3 linked regions of the Arabidopsis thaliana genome follow. The protein of the gene in region 2 interacts with the protein of the main gene of each other region in a biochemical or structural test. Each region holds a gene or a part of one and is shown on either strand. Other genes may lie near its edges. The genes, in order: delta-ADR, AT2G43160 and AT3G08530.

What was found.
Region 1: the proteins of AT2G43160 (region 2) and delta-ADR form a complex in vitro, tested with the Arabidopsis thaliana proteins (one study listed by BioGRID).
Region 3: the proteins of AT2G43160 (region 2) and AT3G08530 form a complex in vitro, tested with the Arabidopsis thaliana proteins (one study listed by BioGRID).

Annotation. Positions count from the first base shown.
Region 1 is NC_003070.9:18,035,375-18,041,137, forward strand, and holds delta-ADR (delta-adaptin), read right to left. Parts: upstream 4,032-5,763; 5' UTR 3,888-4,031; coding exon 1,278-3,887; 3' UTR 930-1,277; coding exon of another isoform or gene 645-929; 3' UTR 593-644; downstream 1-592. Other genes in the region: AT1G48750 (Bifunctional inhibitor/lipid-transfer protein/seed storage 2S albumin superfamily protein), read left to right, coding at 645-929; AT1G48770 (hypothetical protein (DUF1639)), read left to right, coding at 4,911-5,384, 5,477-5,542. UniProt on the Arabidopsis thaliana protein: Part of the AP-3 complex, an adaptor-related complex which seems to be clathrin-associated. The complex is associated with the Golgi region as well as more peripheral structures.
Region 2 is NC_003071.7:17,946,055-17,953,849, reverse strand, and holds AT2G43160 (ENTH/VHS family protein), read right to left. Parts: upstream 6,051-7,795; 5' UTR 5,580-6,050; intron 5,498-5,579; exon of another isoform or gene 5,180-5,497; intron 5,053-5,179; exon of another isoform or gene 5,024-5,052; 5' UTR 4,967-5,023; coding exon 4,932-4,966; intron 4,829-4,931; coding exon 4,777-4,828; intron 4,538-4,776; coding exon 4,458-4,537; intron 4,369-4,457; coding exon 4,290-4,368; intron 4,191-4,289; coding exon 4,107-4,190; intron 3,989-4,106; coding exon 3,843-3,988; intron 3,576-3,842; coding exon 3,273-3,575; intron 3,067-3,272; coding exon 3,025-3,066; intron 2,937-3,024; coding exon 2,838-2,936; intron 2,765-2,837; coding exon 2,571-2,764; intron 2,324-2,570; coding exon 2,088-2,323; intron 2,010-2,087; coding exon 1,160-2,009; intron 1,071-1,159; coding exon 583-1,070; 3' UTR 181-582; downstream 1-180. Other genes in the region: AT2G43180 (Phosphoenolpyruvate carboxylase family protein), read left to right, coding at 13-131; AT2G43150 (Proline-rich extensin-like family protein), read right to left, coding at 7,319-7,795. UniProt on the Arabidopsis thaliana protein: May have a role in transport via clathrin-coated vesicles from the trans-Golgi network to endosomes. Stimulates clathrin assembly. Binds to membranes enriched in phosphatidylinositol 3-phosphate (PtdIns(3)P). Plays an important role in protein trafficking.
Region 3 is NC_003074.8:2,592,566-2,597,543, forward strand, and holds the start of AT3G08530 (Clathrin, heavy chain), read right to left. Parts: upstream 3,090-4,978; 5' UTR 2,847-3,089; coding exon 2,802-2,846; intron 2,450-2,801; coding exon 2,245-2,449; intron 2,139-2,244; coding exon 2,050-2,138; intron 1,933-2,049; coding exon 1,854-1,932; intron 1,779-1,853; coding exon 1,651-1,778; intron 1,549-1,650; coding exon 1,450-1,548; intron 1,370-1,449; coding exon 1,261-1,369; intron 1,154-1,260; coding exon 1,074-1,153; intron 991-1,073; coding exon 763-990; intron 677-762; coding exon 611-676; intron 484-610; coding exon 367-483; intron 274-366; coding exon 76-273; intron 1-75. Other genes in the region: KOB1 (elongation defective 1 protein / ELD1 protein), read left to right, coding at 3,948-4,334, 4,579-4,728, 4,866-4,918.

The sequences.
Region 1 (5,763 bases), on a different chromosome or scaffold from region 2:
AAATATATTTAAAATTTTACGTAAAAATGAAACTTTTTGTTCGGAGATTTTAATAAAATAAAATAAAAAAGGAGAAGCTTTGTCTTCAGTGAAAACATATAAATTTATTTCGTATGAGACGAATCAATTGTTGCTTGTTGTCCTAGCATGGATCACTCTAATTAGTAGTAATGAGGTTTTGCTAAAAGTAACAAGATCAGTTGAAGCAAACAAAGATGTTTTTAGTGTTGTTGTTTTTTTGGACAAAGATGTTTTTAGTGTTTAGCTTTGGTTATTGTGGTACAATGGTAAGTCTTGATCTTTGGAGTTATTGTTTTAAGTCGTAGCTTTTATTCTCTCTTTATAGCTTTTTTTTAGCTTAGTATCCGGAGATAAATTTGTCTTTCACCGGCTTAGTTTTTGGAAGGGTTTGATCCTTGCCGGCTTCATGTATCAAAATACTATCCCACCGTTGTAAGTTGTAATCCTCAATGGCTCAATGAATGATAATAAATAAAGTTAACTCTTTCAAGTGATAAAAAAAAAGAAAAGAAGAAAGCTTTTATCACACTTTCTATCCCCTATAAATAGAAGGGATGGCTTGAAGACACATACTGAAAACAGAACAAACACAAACACAAACAGAGAATCAACGAAGAAGAAAAATGGTGAAGGTGATGTGGGTTTCCGTTTTAGCTCTGGCGGCGGCGATTCTCCTTTTGACGGTCCCGGTGGCAGAAGGGGTGACGTGCTCGCCTATGCAGCTGGCTTCATGTGCGGCGGCGATGACGTCATCGTCGCCGCCATCGGAGGCGTGTTGCACAAAGCTGAGAGAGCAGCAGCCATGCCTTTGTGGGTACATGAGGAACCCTACCCTCCGCCAATACGTTAGCTCCCCTAACGCAAGGAAAGTCTCCAACAGTTGCAAGATTCCTTCCCCAAGCTGTTAAGGAAATGTTAATCATGATTAATTAGTGACAAGTTTCGCTGATTATAGTGGTTAATGCTGGTCTTATCTTCGTCACTACTATTTAGAATAATAAATGAAGTGATGATGATTGATGATTGATGATTGATGATTATCATCATCATGCTTGAATGTTATGTTTTCTATCTTATAAAATATGAAATATACTTTAGAAATATGTTTCGTCGGATCTCTCTTATAAATTATGACAGAAACCAAGAAACCAATACATGAAAGTCTATACACAAAAAGAATTACACAAGACATTTTGTTTGGTTTCTGTATGAACAAAGACATATTTTAAAAGAACACAAACTGATTTTTCACTCCATCACAAGAGAAAATCTGGAATTATAACTTGTTCTGAAGCAGAAGCTACTTCATTTTGCCGTCGTGATTTGTGCTTACTACTTCCCTCTCCCTTCTTCTTCTTTTTCTTCTTCTTCTTCTTCTCTGAGTTCTGATGATTTTCTATCCTCGAGCTCTCTTCTTTTTCCTGTTGTCCTGAATTCGGATTTCCCTCGTACCTATCTTTTTCTTTTCCCTTGTTCTTTACCAGAAGAGCGCTTTGGATCGCTCGGGACAAAGATTCATCATCATTAGCAGTCTGTATATTTGTTTTTGCTTGAGGAGTGATTCTTGATTCATCTCCATCGTCTAGTTTCACCACTACAGGCCGTGGTTTAGATTGGTTTGGCTTTCTCTTGGGGTTAAATGAATCCTGGGATATCTCGTTTGCTAATTCATTTGCCAGAGGATAATCGCTTGACGTGCCGTTGCTATCTTGATCCTCCTTTTGAGAAGTAAGATAATACATTCCATGGCGTTTACGGTGTTCAGCTAGCAGAGATGAAGCTTCATGTGGAGGAGATGAAGATGAAGTGGCTTCTTGTTGATCTCTGATTCTGAGTTTGGAGACAGAGAAGCTGATCTTGTCTGTGTATGAAACCGAATCCGATTCCACGGGTTTAAGATGTTCCCCACAGATCTCCTCCAGATCCCCGAGATTCTCTTTCAGCTCTAACCCATCCGGTACACAAACCTTTTCTTGTGCAGTTGCAGAAATAGGACCAAACTCTTCTGAGAACACATCTTCCATGAATGCTGTAACTCTAGAAGCTTCTGTTTCGTTGTCTTGGAGATTTAATTGCTCAGCTATTTCTTGCTTTATCACACTGATGTATCCTAAAACATTCTTAGCTCTCTCCTGCACTTCCACATCATGGTATCCAGATAAAGGCCCCAAACCAAGCTCAATCACATTCACCAGACTCAATATAGATTCATGTGTGAAAACATTCACCAACAAAGAGCCAGAACTTGATTCCTGAGCCAAGGATGACGAAGTGGGTTCCTGGGACGAGAAGTAAGACCCCAGACAGAAGACAAGAACTTTGAAAGCTGAATGTATATAGATAGCTTTTATGGAGGGGGGTAAGAGATCAGTTCGTGGTTGCAGAAGCGCCTCCACAGTTTCATACGGATTCTTAGAGAACTCAACGTATTCACCTGAAACCCACGCAGCTGCAGATAGTATAGGGTGTAAGAACAAGTTACCGAGCAATGCAGGATCAATGAGCAGTGCCCAAGAAACACGGACTAGCTGTGGTCTAGCATCTCTGACCCTCATACCGATATCGATCAACTGATGCTCAATATCTTCCCCTCTTTGACAATGTGGGATTCTAGCCATTTCACCAAGAAGAGACAAATACCAATCAAAGTCAACTATGATCTCATATGCATTCCTGGAGCATGCCGATAAGACAGAAAAAATAATCTCATTGCAGAACAAAGGGTCTGACTTGAGTGCATAATTCATAAGAATCCTGGAGATTTCCGACACATTATCTTCATTCACCATTGCCATTAAGAGATGCAATGCCTCGAGTTTAACATTTGGATCCTCATCGCTCATAGCCTTGACGACTACCTCTTTGTTCTCCAAAACTGCCCACAAATGCTTAGGAGCAACAATCGACAAGGCGTTAAGACCGAGATACTTAAGATTTGGATCATCTTCCACCAGAAACTCCCGGATCTTTGCAACAGCAAGTTTCACAGCCGCTTCGTTATCACTCAAGCTACTCACCACGGTTCGAACACACTCAAAAACCAGAGACTTTGCCACAGTCCTCCTCATATGTTCACAAATCGGCTCAGCAACCTTCTTACCCAATCTCGGTTCAATCAAGGCCAACTTAGCAAATATCTTAAGAACCTTGATCAGAACCCAATTATTCCTTGAATCAACCAATACTTTATAGAACTCAGGAGCTAAAGGAAGACAAGACTGAGGATCCTTTGTAGCAAGCTCACAGAACACTCCAACTACAGCAGACAGAATCTGCGGATCAGAGGTTTCAAGATTCTCAACTAGACGTTTAAAACACACCTTAACAGCATCATGATACTTCTCAAAAACCCTCAAAACCACACCAATTGCTTTCTTCTTCACGAAAGATTTACTACTACCCAGGAGAGTAAACACTTCAGGAGTCAAATCTCTAGCTAGGTCATGAGTTCCGATCCTAGACAAACATTCCAAAGCTAGACTAACCTCGTATTCATTAGCACTATTCAAATCCTTTCTCACCTGGTTAGTGATCAGAAGCATAACCGAGGTCTGATCGTTGAATGATTGAGTAATTGCTTGGTAACCGATCCTCTTGTGTTGGAATCGTGAAGAAGACACGACTTCTACGGCGTGAAACGCGGCCCAAGACATGTCGACGCCGTGAAGTGCGGCGAGGTAAGAGAGCTTGTGAAGAGCGGTGGATTTAGTTGAGAGATCTGTGGCTTTGATCTCGCGGCGGATTTCTTCAACGGCTCTAGAAATGAAATTGGATTCTCCGAGAAGCTGGAGACGAAAGCCTTTGATTAGATCCTCGAGACTTCGTTGGAACAAGTTGTCCATTATAGAAGTGGAAGACGACGACATTGATGATTCTCGTGGTTTTGAAGAGATCCTTCTTAGTGGTTAGGTCTTAAAACTGTAGTTGGAAATTGAAAGGAGCCATCAATTGATGTTGGGAAGATGAGATTCCGAGGGCTTTTCAAGCTGATCGGCGTTGCCCAAACTCGCGATCTCATCGGAGAGGGAAGAAGGAAGTAAGGCAAGAAAAAGGGCTTTGTGGGCTTTAATGGCTTATTGAGTTTGTGGGCTTTTTTATAGTAGAAACTAGTGGGCCTTAATGAATTTAATGACATATTTTCCAACATTTGGAAAATGAAGAAATTATATGTATGCGTTTGTCAAATCTAAAATTAATCATGTGAATTTCAATGCAAAAATTTGATGTTGCATTTTGTGTAATGATAGTTTGGAATTTGGATACAAAACTATTATATAAATTCAAAGATATTTCAACTATATTATTAATCAGGTCATAGTTTTTATAGATGTATTTTTATTTTACGTTAAAATAGATTTTTGCATTAAAGTTGTGGTAATTTCATTTTTTTATAATTTAAAAAACTATTAAACTCTATTTTTGGCGCTAAATTTACATCTTCGAAACATATCGACTAATTTAGATAGTGTCACTTCTCTACATGAAGGAAGATGTTATATTATATTACAATGGTTTTGCTAAATAATTCAAACATTTCAAAAAAAAAAAAAAAAAAATCAGCCCCAAGTGTCCAACATGTAAATACATTTCATATTTTATATATAAAAAAAACTCGTAAATTAGGATTAATTGAAATATTAAGAATATATCAATTTTTAGTGCTTATCACTTCTATTTTTTTTTTGTTATTTTCCTTTTACAAGTTGGTTTTTGTGTTCTATATATAAATCGCACAACGTTACAAATAATTTCGACAATGGAAAAAAAAGAAGGAAAACGAATAAAATAACTCTGAGAATAAGTACGGGAAAAAAAAACTTTGAACTGCTCTCTCTCTCTCGAAGCTCTCAACAAAAAAAATCGAAGAAGAAGAAGAAGAAGACGTAACAATGGAGCCTCCTTTTGAAAGATCGAAACGTCTCCACAACTTCTCTTTGCCTCAACTCCGTTGGGGTCAACAAAGATTCCTCAGATGCGTCAATCTACCATCTCCTCCTCCTTCTTCTTCCTCTCCCGATCACGCAGCCACCAATAGATCCGTCTCCATAGCTGGAGTTTCTCTTACAAGAGGAGGAGGAGGAGGAGCGAAGAACGGGGAGGTAGTTGCGGCGGCTAAGCCATGGAATTTGAGGATGAGAAGAGCTGCGTGTAGTGAACCTGGAGAAGAAATTGAAATTGGCGTTAATAAGAGAAGAAGTATCATCGATAATGAAGATGGAGGAGGAGATAAGAAGAATGAGAAATCGAAATTCTCTATTGCGTTGTCGAGAGATGAAATTGAACAAGATTTCTCCTTTGTTTTTGGGAAAAAACCTCCCAAGAGACCTAAGAAGAGACCAAGGCTTGTTCAGAAGAAATTGAATGTAAGTTAACAATCTTCTCTTGTTTAATTTTTGGTTGCTTGATTTTTTTTTTGGATGATTGCTAAATTGTGTTCTTGTGTTTGTTTTTGCAGACGATTTTTCCAGGATTGTGGTTGAATGAAGAAGAAGTGACGATTGATTCGTATAATGGAGCTTAGGAAACAACATGAAAGGTTTTTACTCTGTAGGATAATATGTATCTCTCTGTTCTTGTTCTACTCTTTGAGACATTCTCAAGTTTAGCAATTTTTCTGGTTTCTGATCCTTTGTTGTTATTGTTGTAAAGCAGATTACTGGGAATCTTATCATTCATTCACTAATTGTAATCTCCAGCTGTTTGTTCTTTTAGTAATGCAGTTGCTTCAATATTGTTTCTCTC
Region 2 (7,795 bases):
AAAAATTCGCAGCTTTAGGAGGCGTGAACTTGAAGCAATTGATGGACGATGCAGCAGATGAGGTCGGAGGGAAAATTTTGTTAGATTTTAAAGACACTGCAGGTGACAGAATCCAAGTCTTTCTAGAATGACACACACCTAGTGAAGAAAAAGTAAATACAGCCGGGAAACATTTAAAAAGAGAATACAAAAATGTAAAGATTTTATTTGTTCCGTGAATGAGAAATGTATTACACATCTTCAAAATAAAGAAATAGAAGTGAATGTGTATATATCAAATTATATGCATATAACAAAAAAAGGGCAGACCCGAGCAAGGTTTGCCACTCTCACACTGGTACAAATTTCACAACAAGCTCTCAATTTGGTCCAAACCAGAAAAAAATAAAAATGAATGATGAGTGACGAGTAAGGCAAGAACAAACAGAGAAGAAAATTCGTGGAGCCGTGTTGCCTGGATGAATAATGTAACCTGAGTACTTTTATCGACTGATATTACATATCCCAGAGTAAAGAAAAAGCACAGGCGAGCGTATTCTTGATTACACGAATGAAGTCAAGTGCATCATGTTTGGCTTGATCTTACCGGTATCCACCACCATAGGATTGTTGAGGGTTGTAACCACCTTGACCCATCATCGGATTGTAGTTATTGCCAGGCATGTTTGGGCTAGGTACCATCCCTGGGTTTTGTGGTTGCATCGGATAGCCTTGGCCATATCCTCCCATGTTCATGTTCATGTTCATGCCGGGTCCCATTCCCATACCCATCGGTTGGTTTTGGTTCATTCCGGCCCCCATACCCATACCCATGGGTTGGTTCTGGTTCATACCTCCGTAGCTACCAACACCCATTCCTCCGCCCATGGGCATGCCAGAGCCTGTCATTGGATTAGGTGGAGGTCTCATAGCAGTTGCACCAGAACGCCCTAAGCCAGTGCCTGATCCCATGGCTTTACCCATATTGATAGTCGATGTTGCTGGTGTGTTTGTTTGTTTCTCCAGCCGTTTCTCTCTCCTGTTGATCGCCTCGAAGTCAACTCCTATGTCTGCCAATGGATTTGTTTTAGCTGCGATAAGTAGAAAAACAAAAACAATGTTAGAAAGTTTGCTAAAGACGTTTTTTTTTCCTTAAATGGTATGGTGAAATCTATCTTACATCCAGATATGTTAAAGTTAACAAGCCCCCTGCTCAACGTGTCTGCCCAGACTGATGATTTTGGCTCAAACTTTTTCTGAGGCGGAGGAACAATCTCAATTGCTCCTGTTAAAGGTGTGAGATCTGGATGAGATGATGATGACGTCAAGGAGTTGGGCGTAGCTTGCGAGAACATGTCTCCCATGACATTGTTGTTCCCTTGCAGAGTAACAGGTCCGGATTGAGTTCGTTGTGGACCATGGGATGGCGGCATTCCATGACCTTGGTGTGCCATGAACTGACCAGCTGGTCCACTTGGGGTAGAGTAAGGAGTTTGTGAGCCCGGCTGGTGCATGAAGCCTCCACTATTAAATGGCATGGCTCCAGTCATATTTTGAGAATGAGGAACCATGTTATATGGTTGAACAGCTTGTCCAAATGGAGTTTGTCCAGGCAGGTTTGGAGCTGTAGATACCGGCGGCTGAGAATGAAATCCCTCGTACATGTTGTTTCCACTGGGAGGAAATTGAGATGTTGGTATTGAGGGACCCGATTGTACTGGAGGTCCAGATGGTGGGAGAATGCCAGCGAGGATATCAATACCACTCTGAGATGTAGCAAATTGCTCTTGAGGAAAACCTGGTGAGTTCGATGGAGGTTGCACATTCTGAGAAGCAGGATCAGGATTGGCAACGGCGGAAAATGAGTCCCCAAAGCCAAAGTTATGAGCAGTATCAGGATGTGAGACCTCTGAAGTGAAGGCTGGAGGTGGTGGCTGGAAAGAAGCTCCAAAATTCTGCTGTGGGGTTGAGTCGGTGTCAGTAGAAGTGAAGGCCTTGAAAGGAGAGTCACCAAATGGGTCATCAAATGACTGCATAATCCAAACAACAGTCATCAATAATCATAGGAAACCATCATAATCTTCATACTCCAAGCTCAGTGTATATACCTGAGTTGATGGCTGAGATGTAGAAAACGATGGAGCTGGACCAGCGTTTGCTTGTCCATTGGTTTCAACATAGATAGAATCAGCTGGTACAATGGCCAATGCGTTTGATGAAAATACGTCTGCAAGGGAACCAAGCAAGTCCATCTCAACACTGTTTGAGGTGGTAGGGGCAGACATAGAAGTCACAGTTGGAGGAGCTGTAACACCATCTGTAGATGCATATGCTGGAGGGCCAGCTGGAAAAGTAAAGGAACACAACGGCCACACTCAGAACAAGCAGAGTTTAATGGGATAGAAATATACCATACAGACATGAGAATACAATCATACACCCTCCAACTAAGCCTTGAAACATTTACTGAATTAGTTATAGTTATTGATTAAAGATTTTCATGTAATCTCTATGCTGCCGAGGAGTTTGAAAAACTAAGAAAATATCTCAAGATACAACTAAAGAATTGCAAGAGTTTGAGTATTCTGTACCTGAAAACGCACTGCGTGGATCAAATTCATCGAAAGTCTCAACTTTCTGAGAAGGTGATTCATTAACAAAAGTAGCAGTTGTATTGGCTGTGTTGGTTCCAGTTGGAGGAGAAGCAGCCTCTGGAGCAGCAACTTGTGGGGGAGGAGGAGAAGCAGCTCCTGGAGCGGTAACTTGTGGGGTCTCCCCACCATCCCTGGCATAGAAAGATTCATCAGCACCAATAAAAACCAAGGTAGCTTTCAATTTTCAAAGCAGAAAATGATCACCTTTCACTATATACAGGGCTGCGTGAATCACTGACAGCTTCTTCATAACTGGGTGGAGCGCCAATATTTTGTTCAGAAAACTTCCTCTGGAGCCCCCCTCTACCATTATAATCCCGAAAGAAGGTGAGATGAGTTGTCATACAATAAAAGAATGCCTAAACTTCAGTAGAAATTTATCAGAAATTACCTCCCATCCTGAGAATTATCATCAGCTCGAGCACCACTGCCCCTACAGGACAAAAAGGAGTGTATCCATTTAAAATTTGAAAATGGAACTAGACTAAGAAGATTGCGGTTCGAAATGATTTTTAAAATCAAGGACATCTACGCTAGTATTCAAAATAAAAATATTCTATCCAAATGGAGTTGATAATCTTCAAAATTTTCCCCTTCCTTTTTTATTTCAGGATTTAGGCGACTTGAAATTTAACATACCGTGATGAAGAATGGCCATCATCCTCCCGCTCTCTTTCCGAACTCCTACCTCGTGACCCATAGTTATCAACACTTCTGCTCCTTCCCCTGTAATCATCATCCCTATTACCATCTCTCCCATACCGGTCTTCAGAGTCCCTGGAATGACGATCTCCATCACGACTATTTCTATCATCATCTCTGTAACCATATTCTCTTTCTCTTCCATAACTACTTCGCTCTTCATCCCGGCTTCCGTAATCATATTTATCCCCATATCCGCCTGAAGGCTTATACATCCCACCTGGTGCTGAGCTGCGATACCTGTTGTAAAATAATGTAGGTTGATATGTTCAGCATATTTTGAATGAACCAAAAGACATGTCATTTTTTTTTCTCGAGATAAAAACTTTCAAAATTCAGAAGCTAATACAGTTAAAGTGCCAGTACTACCAATTAATAGACTACCGAGAAGCATAATAACAATTGTAAGCCACTAGCAACAAGAAATCAAACGAGTGTCCACCGAGACTCACACAGAGAGAAAACTATCCACCAGTTCCAGAAAGATACAATGACAAGCAAACTTACTTATCTCTATTAGCAGCAGCCTTCTGTCTGACTTCAGCTATTCTTTCCTTGTCATTCACCAAAGCCACCAGGCTCTGTGATTTCTTCCTAACATTGCTTCCTTGATCTCTACCACCGGAATCAATATACTGAAAATCGGACAATGTCTGCCACAAGGAAAATAGACATATATACAAGTAAGATAGTCAACTACTGAGATATAGCACTAAAGGATTCTCTTGATGTTGAATACTTCCAAAATAATGTACTCAAGGTAGTCATTACCGAAATTTGATATGCACGTTCTCTAATCTCGTCTATAACACGTTCTGATCCATGGCCTACCATGTACTCCAAAACTGTCAAAGCCTGAAGGGGAGAGAGAAGAGGTAAACAGCATGAAATACTTTAGTCACTGCTACAGAAATTCAACACAAATTAAGCCAGCAAGACAATAATATTGTTTACCTTATAGACATGCCGCCAGTTTTTTCCGGTGTCGCTAAGGCGTTTCCATATGACCACCATGATCAGCTGATATTCATGACTGAAATAGAAGTAACATGTTTTTATAATTCCTGTGCAATGTCCAAAATCGCAGCAAAATATAGCAAGTTGGAAGGTGGTCGTAGTTACTAATTTCTGGAAGCTTGCGCAAGATCAGCAAGAAGTGATCCATGTGGACCCCATGGCTCATTACTAGTAGCATCTAGAACCTGAATAAGAGAAAGCACAGACAAAACAAGATAAGAGAAAGTTGGATATCTCGCTTTACATTGTTTAGCAAGACGATGAATGCAACCAAGATAAGCTCTCTATTTATAAAAGCCTTTTAGAAACAAATAAAGAAATTGATAAACTCAAGCATAAAAATGGAAAACAGTATCTAAATCTCTGCTGCGGAAGAATTTCTGATAAGAAGAAAAAGAGAGAAGAAGCTAAGAGCATCCATTACCTTCTGTTCTACTCCAGGAACTTTGAGCACTTTCTTGTTGACCTCTCTCTTACTGAATAAATGGAACATAAAATGAAGCATCCCGTCAATGAAAAAAGAAATAAACCACACACAGATTGAGAATATCATTAAATTTCGGGTACGAAAATACTTACAGGTCTCTAACAGTTTGTCCGAAGACTTTCTTCATCTTCGTATGTGTTCCAGGAACAAGAGTATCTTAAACAAATGTCACCTTCTATGGAGTCTGTTGTATAACTAGTATGAGCAGCTTATCTATTAACGTTTCAAACAAAGATATATATATATATCACCACAAATGTATAGATAGAACAAAAAGAAACAAACGAATCATTCTTCATCATAATCTCATTTCAATTACACAATCGTAAGAGCCAGATACATGGAATTGAGGAACGGCAACAAAGCAATCAGCAATGATCGAATTTGTCTTTGTTCAGATTCACCCTAAAACAATCTCAAGGAAGTGGAAAAAATCCCCAGCTCGTAACAAAATTTCCGAATTTTGCAACAATTAAAGGATATAAAGAAGAAGTCAAAATCAACAAAATCCGACTCCTAAGCAGACTAAAAATTCAAACGGTAACAATCAAAATCGAATAAAAAGGAAGATTCACATTCAAAAACGCAGCTCACACAGATCTTAAAGCTAATAACATCCCTCCACAAAATAGAATCACATCGAACAAGATAAAAAAATCAACCGGAAATTTAAAAATGGAAACAATAGATCCAGAAAAAGAATAATGAACATGAAAGAACAAAAAGAGCTAAGATCGTACCTGCAGAAATGTAAAATTTGACCAGAATCGGATCGTGGATCTGTCAAGGCACAGATAATAAAAGGAAGAAGACGAAGAAGAAACACTTTTGAAGGCTTTTGAAGGTGGAGGAGATTGATCGTGGATCTGCGTTTAGCTTTCGCACTTTGCCTCCTCTCTCTACAAAAATTCTCGAGTTTAGAGAGAGAGAGAGAGGAAAACAGCAGCCAGAAGAGAAAATTCAACAGATAAAATAAATAAATAAAAATGAAATAGTGAAAAAAAAAAAGAATAATACAAATAAGACAGCGCAACTAAACACGGAGAATATTATTAAGGCGCTCCAAATCAATATAATGTTTGGATTTGAAAAATCACAGCTGTTTAATTGAGAACAACATAATTATTACTTTGGTCTAACCAGTTTTATAAAGTTTCTATTCTCATATACAGTTTGGAAATGAGAAGATACAATATGCTTTATTCCAAAACTTTTGTTGGGACAAAATTGCTTTATGTCTAGTGGAGTTGGAAGCTACTAGACCTAATACTATATATTTCAGTACTGTTGAAATCAAATTAATTTATCAAAATTGTGTTTATTAGCTTCATTGAATTTCACTTCATCATTATCAAATTAATTTATCAAAATCAACTTAAGCATAACGATAAAGTTTGGAAGGTGTCGTTGCCAAACAACAAACAAAATGACGGTGACAAAAAAATTGGAGGCAAATTACCAAATACGTTTAGCCAATGGGCCTCAAAATCAGCTAATGCTATCCCAAAGCCCAAAGTACAACCACTCCACTTATTTCGAACCAATTCTTCAGCACTTGCTGCTTTTCATTTGCTTTTGTTTGGTTCCATGTTTCGATTAAATAGAAGAATATAAACTATAACTTTGATATTAATTCATTTCAACATTCTTTAATTTTAGTCAATGGTTTTGTATTAAGCATATAGTATTGCTCAATATTTTTTTTTTTTAAGGTTGAAACAAAAAGAGTAGGTGGAAATTAGTTGAATGAAAGTGAGTCTCTGACGTATTACATAAACACAATTATTAATGATCCAATGAGATCAAAGTGATGTGTTACTTCCACTTTCCCACCTTTTGAAGCAATGATAACTTTCTCTGGACGAACAGATCGAAACAATGTCGTGCCCAACCTAAAAGAATATGTCTTTTAACTTTGTCATTGGAACTACTTTTGTCGTTGGAACTATGTTTTAAGATAGAAAATGTTATGACTGTATATCGCATAATCCAAAGAAAGAAGAAACTGAACTTTGTTTTATATGCTAACAACTCTTTCATTACATTAACGGAAGAATAACAAAATAGAAAATGTATGCACAACAATTAAATTACCAAAACCCATTTTTTCACTTAACAACAAAAGGGAACAAAGAGGAGTATGATACGATCTAAAAGGGTCTTGGAAACAATTTGACTTGACGAAGACGCAAAGATAATGATGCACAAGTGGAAGATGAGCGACATTGAAGAAGAGGAAGTGATGTGGATCGTTGTTAGAGATGTTTTGTTTCTGATTTCCACGCCACGATCCTTATTTGGTTCACTTCTTCTTCTCTTTGACTTTGACCCTTCCTTTATTTCATTTTTTAAAAGAAAACCTGTGAAAGAAGAAATTCCGATTTTATTTAGGGCACAATTATTAAAACGGATTATGAGGTAAAGGTATAAGTATAGGACTTACTTGAATAATGGGGAAATTTTGTTGAATTTGATGAGCCTAGTAATGTGTGGGAGGTGGGGGAGAAGCGTAGATGTAGACAGGAGGTGGGGGAGATTTTACCGGTGGTGGTGGAGAGCTGTAAAGGTATGGTGGTGGTGGGGATTTCACCGGAGGAGGTGGGGAGTGGTAATAATATGGAGGAGGAGGAGATTTCACAGGAGGAGGAGGTGAATGGTAGTAGTATGGTGGTGGTGGGGATTTCACCGGAGGAGGTGGTGAATGGTAGTAATATGGTGGTGGTGGGGATTTCACCGGAGGAGGTGGTGAATGGTAGTAGTATGGAGGAGGAGGAGACTTCACCGGAGGAGGCGGTGAATGGTAGTAGTATGGGGGAGGAGGGGACTTCACCGGAGGAGGAGGAGAGCTGTAAACATAAGGAGGGGGAGGGGATTTCACTGGCGGCGGCGGTGAATGATAGTAATACGGTGGTGGAGGAGACTTAACCGGAGGTGGTGGTGATTTATATTCATAAGG
Region 3 (4,978 bases), on a different chromosome or scaffold from region 2:
GAAAGGTTTATCGTCACAACACACCATAGGAGACATATCACACATTTTGAATAAAATCGTCCATTTCAAGATTACCTTCACAAGGTCTCCAAGTTCTTCACTGCATTCTAGTTTATCCTCTGCCAACCAGTTTTCCAGGAGGTTCTTCTTGTTTTGGTTCACAACCAGCCGAGATAGTTCCAGTGACTCATATGAATTGAGTTTCCCTCTAGTCAAAAGAGTCCCAAAATACTGTAACAATGGAGGAGTTTGTCCAGCTTGTACAGGAACACTCTGCAAAATTATAGAGTTGAAAAATTGGTGTTACCAACATTTCATCATAAATAAACATGTTTACACATAGTTGCTTGGATATGAAATAGACACCTGGAATTTGGCCACTGTATCAGGTGTCCTTAGAATTCCTTGAGGAGATTCAGCAGCAAGCTCAGCAGCCTCCTTGTACTTTGTTTGAGCGAACAACTCCTGGAACCGCTGGACAACCTACAACATCCGAGCAGAATATGAGAAACTTCACAATACCAAATGACATTTTTTTTCTTCAAGCTGCCATTTAACAACTATATAATTACTTCACCGAGACAACAGATCCATGATAAACATCGCATACCAGATTTTCTGCACCTGGGAGGTTTCCTCTTTTAGCAAGATTGACAGCAAGCTCCAAATTGTTCAACTGTGATACAAAAGCATAGATTTCTTAGCATGACATGATGAAAAGGGTAGGTTATAACGGGAAAATAGCATAAAAGATTAGCATACTTGGCCACTAATAAAAGGTATAATGGTAGCCTCGTTTACTGTAGCCAAAAGAACTTGTCCTCGCCTATTAATGGCATAGAAACCCCCAACTGAGGAAGCTTCAGAAGTCAAGAAAATTGGGTCTGGACTAATCCGATTTCTGTAGATAGCAGAAGCAGTCTCTAGATCGTACACAAACAACAGGCCAAGTTTGGTGATAACATATATCAAGTTAAATTTGTGAGAGACCTGTCAGGAAAATGAGAAATTAGTGCCAGAAATTGTCACTAACTACTTACACATATAACTGAAATTCTAATGCAATAGCAAACCTGCATGGCAACAGGAAAATCATCAGCAAAATCAGGGGGAAAAAAGAGATCTGCTTGTTTTTTTGTAAATGATGGTTTTCCTGCAAAAAAATCGCCAACCTTTAAAGATCAGATGAATACAACCTAGAAAACGTAACCAATTATATTAAATAACAGTGAAGATATAGTTTTGCGTCGGGGAGCTAACCAGGTTGGGCACCAAGCTCAATGACATGCAACTTTGATGTTATCTGCCCAGCATTAAAGCTCTTGCTTGCAAATGATATAAGAATAGAAGGATTCTCATTCCCAGGAACCTAATATTAATAGTGTTGCAAGTCAAACTACAGTTCAAGATTAGACCATAGATGAACTCACCAAAGAACAAAGACGTTACCTTAAACTGCGCAAACGATGCAGCATGTGCCTCAAGGGCCTGACTCCGCTGTTGATCCACAGAGAAAAGCTGCATATTTCCTTTTACCAATTGTTGTCTCTACAGAAAACAGATAATAATGACAAGATCAGTCAAGAATCTACAACATGAAAGCAGTTTTGATGTCTTTTTTTGACCTAATATGTGGCGCAGTAAACTTACCTCAGGAGAGCCAGGAGCAATTCCAATTAAAACCAACCACTTCTCATTAGGAGAGCACTTATAGTTTATAATTTGATTGTTGGCCAAATTGGCTGTTCTATCAAACATCTTAACTGGCTCAGAATCACCTATAAAACCCGAAGGAAAATTAGAAACGAAAACACAAGATATGAAGAAAATGACAGTAGGCTGAAATATACAACCTTCAATTGACCAATGATAGACGGAATTCTGTGTGACCAGCCCCAACATCTTTGGTGTAATCCACTTCCAAAAGACAACCTGTAAAAACATGAAACATTATTATCCAAAAAAAAACCCGACTGAAAAATTCAGAGTTATACGAAGTGTATAGCAGGAACGATAATGGAGTTCAAATATATTTGCATCAACACTCACCTGCTCAGGCATCTGATGTGATTTCAACTTTGCTTTGGCTTCAATGTTAAATATCTGTAGATGATCCTGAGTAGTTCCTGGAACTTGAGCTACATAAATATTGAAGTAAAAAGTGAACATCAAGATAAGTGGATTATGAACTACGAATTCGAGGAAACCGTTATGGGTTTTAGATCAAAGGAAAAAATCAAGTACCTTTCAAGGCAAGGATCTTCGAGTTTGGGTTCATAAGAGCAGAGTCTGCAGTAATAGGCCTCCTAAGAGGCTGCATCGGCATATTCATATCTATAATTACAACACTGTTTTGCGGTGACGTCTCTCGTACACAGATATACTTGTCAGACTCCATAGTAACATTTGTAAACGTGATGAATTGCTGATTGATCCCGATGCTCGGAAGCTGGAAAAATCAAGATGAAGCGTTACGTCAAATAGTTCATTTATTTAGTTATGAGATCCGAGTACATAAGCACATTGCTACAGACAACAACTTGAAATTCGGCATTGATATATTAACGAAACACAGATCTGAGCATAGTTAGAGAAATCTGATCAGAAACATGCATTCCCAAACAAGCGATCCGGAAAAACTAGAGAGTAACACAACGATCGAGCAGAATTCAGATCAGTAGGAAACTGGAATCAATCAATCAAGAGACTGAACAGAGCTTAATCGTAGAAAATCACGGTCGATTCCAGGAGATACACATCTAAATATTCAAAGATAAGAGTGAAGAGTAAGGAGAACTCACCGTCAGGACCTCCTTCATCGTGATGGGGGCGTTGGCAGCCGCCATGTTTGACCTCAGATCACAGCAAGAGTAAATCCGGGGACGGAATCAAATATACGGCTGAGAAGTCCTGACCGCCAATGGCCAGGAGATAGAACCGAGACGAGAGAAAGACTGGAGAAGAAATGAAATCGCTGCCAGATCTGAAGCAAGTGAACGAGAAAGGTGATGGAAAGAGAAAGAAAATTGAGAAAAGAAGAATAACAAATATATATGGGTAAGTAATGACGAACAGCGATCCAATTAGAGTCTTACATTTATAACCAGGTCCGGCCCATATCGGTCCTTACTGGGCTCTAAGCATCCGAATTTCTAATGAGACGACACGTGAAATATTTTAATTGGTGCTTTTAAATGAAGGTACCTTAGGTGAAACAACAATAAATGACTTAATAATTAAGATTTGATCCAAGAAAAAAACTTAATAATTAAGAATGGAAGAAGTGTCATGACTTTTAATAATTTTTTTTAAAAAACTTAATAATTAAAGATTTGATACAAGAAAAAAAAAACTTAATAATTAAGAATGGAAGAAGTGTCATGACTTAATAATTAGAAACAAAACTTAATTAATCTGATCCAAAAGAAGAAGGAATATTATGTCATAGAGTATCACTGATGATTGCAGGTTGCAATTGTATGTTGCATCAAGTCATCCGTCTTGGTTCCATTCAGTTTTCTGTGATGAAAGAGTCATTTCCCCTGGTTGAATTGGTTTTTTTTTTGTTATATGGCTCTGTTGTTTTGTATAGGTTATTGTTGTTATTAGCTTATAGTGGCTTAGTGTGTGGAGATTTGTTTCTCCCTGTGTAATTGCTTCTGTTCTTTGTGTTGGTACATGTTTCCAATCTATCAATTCAAATCCAGTTGAGAAAGATTAAGAAAAAAAATGGAAGAAAATCTCCCAATTTTTATACATAATAAAATGAGATGAATTGATAATCAATTAGATTTAGTTAGTAAAGTTTAATTTTACCGATGAGATCTCAGACGACCAAAACACGAAAATAAAATAAAAAGAAAGATCTCAGAATCGCGTCTTTCTTCTTCTTCTTCGTCTTCTTCCTCCGAAACTTTTTTTTGTTTTTCAAAGTGGTGGAGCTAACCATGAAATCGACTCACCATCACAGAGCTCCACTAATATCTGCTTCTTCCTCATCTTCATCTTCTTCCCAAAACCATTCATTCGTCTCTAGGCTCCTCCTTCTCCTTACTCTACTTCCAGTTTCCCTTGCTTGTCTCGCCTTTATCCTCCAATGGCGAGGCGGTGGTCTCGCCGATCCTGCCTCTGCTTCTGTTCGTTCCTCTACGTCGGTTCCTGGCGGCTCCGATCTCAATCACGAGGTCTTTCCCGGCATGGAGACTGTTTCATCTGTCTCCCCAAAGTCTCACCAATCCTCCTCCGACTGCTCAAATCTAGCTCGCAGCTCTTCTCCTTCTTTTCCTTACTATGCTGATTGGAAGTTTGGTGTTGATACTAGCTTAAAGCCTAAGGTTACTACTTTCAATTCCCCTGATTTCAAGTCTTTGGATCGATCTACACTTCCAAATTCCTTTTTTTTTTCTTAAATCTTACTACAATGTCTAATCTGAAATATCAAGTTGTTCTTTTTTTATTGGATTATAGAGATTTGAGAAATACCAAAGTTCATTTTTTGATCAGATCTGTCTTTGTAAAGTCACCTCACTTTTTGTGCTCCATGTTGTATATGATTCTTGACATTGTTACTGTTTACAGATATGTATCACGACTAGCACATCAGCTGGATTGGATCAGATTCTACCATGGATGTTCTACCATAAGGTTCTAGGCGTCTCAACATTCTTCCTTTTCGTTGAAGGGAAAGCTGCTACTCCGAGTATTTCTAAAGTGCTCGAGTCTATTCCTGTGAGTTGAACTACCTCTCTTCGCGTCCACTGTTTATTTTGTTTTGGCTGTATATCTCTAGCTCTTTAGTCCTGTAGGTATAAATTTGTATTTAAGGTATGCAGTTTTCGATAAATGTAGTCCCATGTCTCTTGCAGGGTGTTAAAGTAATATACAGGACGAAAGAGCTTGAGGAGAAGCAAGCGAAGAGGTTAGTTAGTTATCCCATTGCATATTTGCGACAAAGCTATAGCTCTTCAAGGCACTAAAC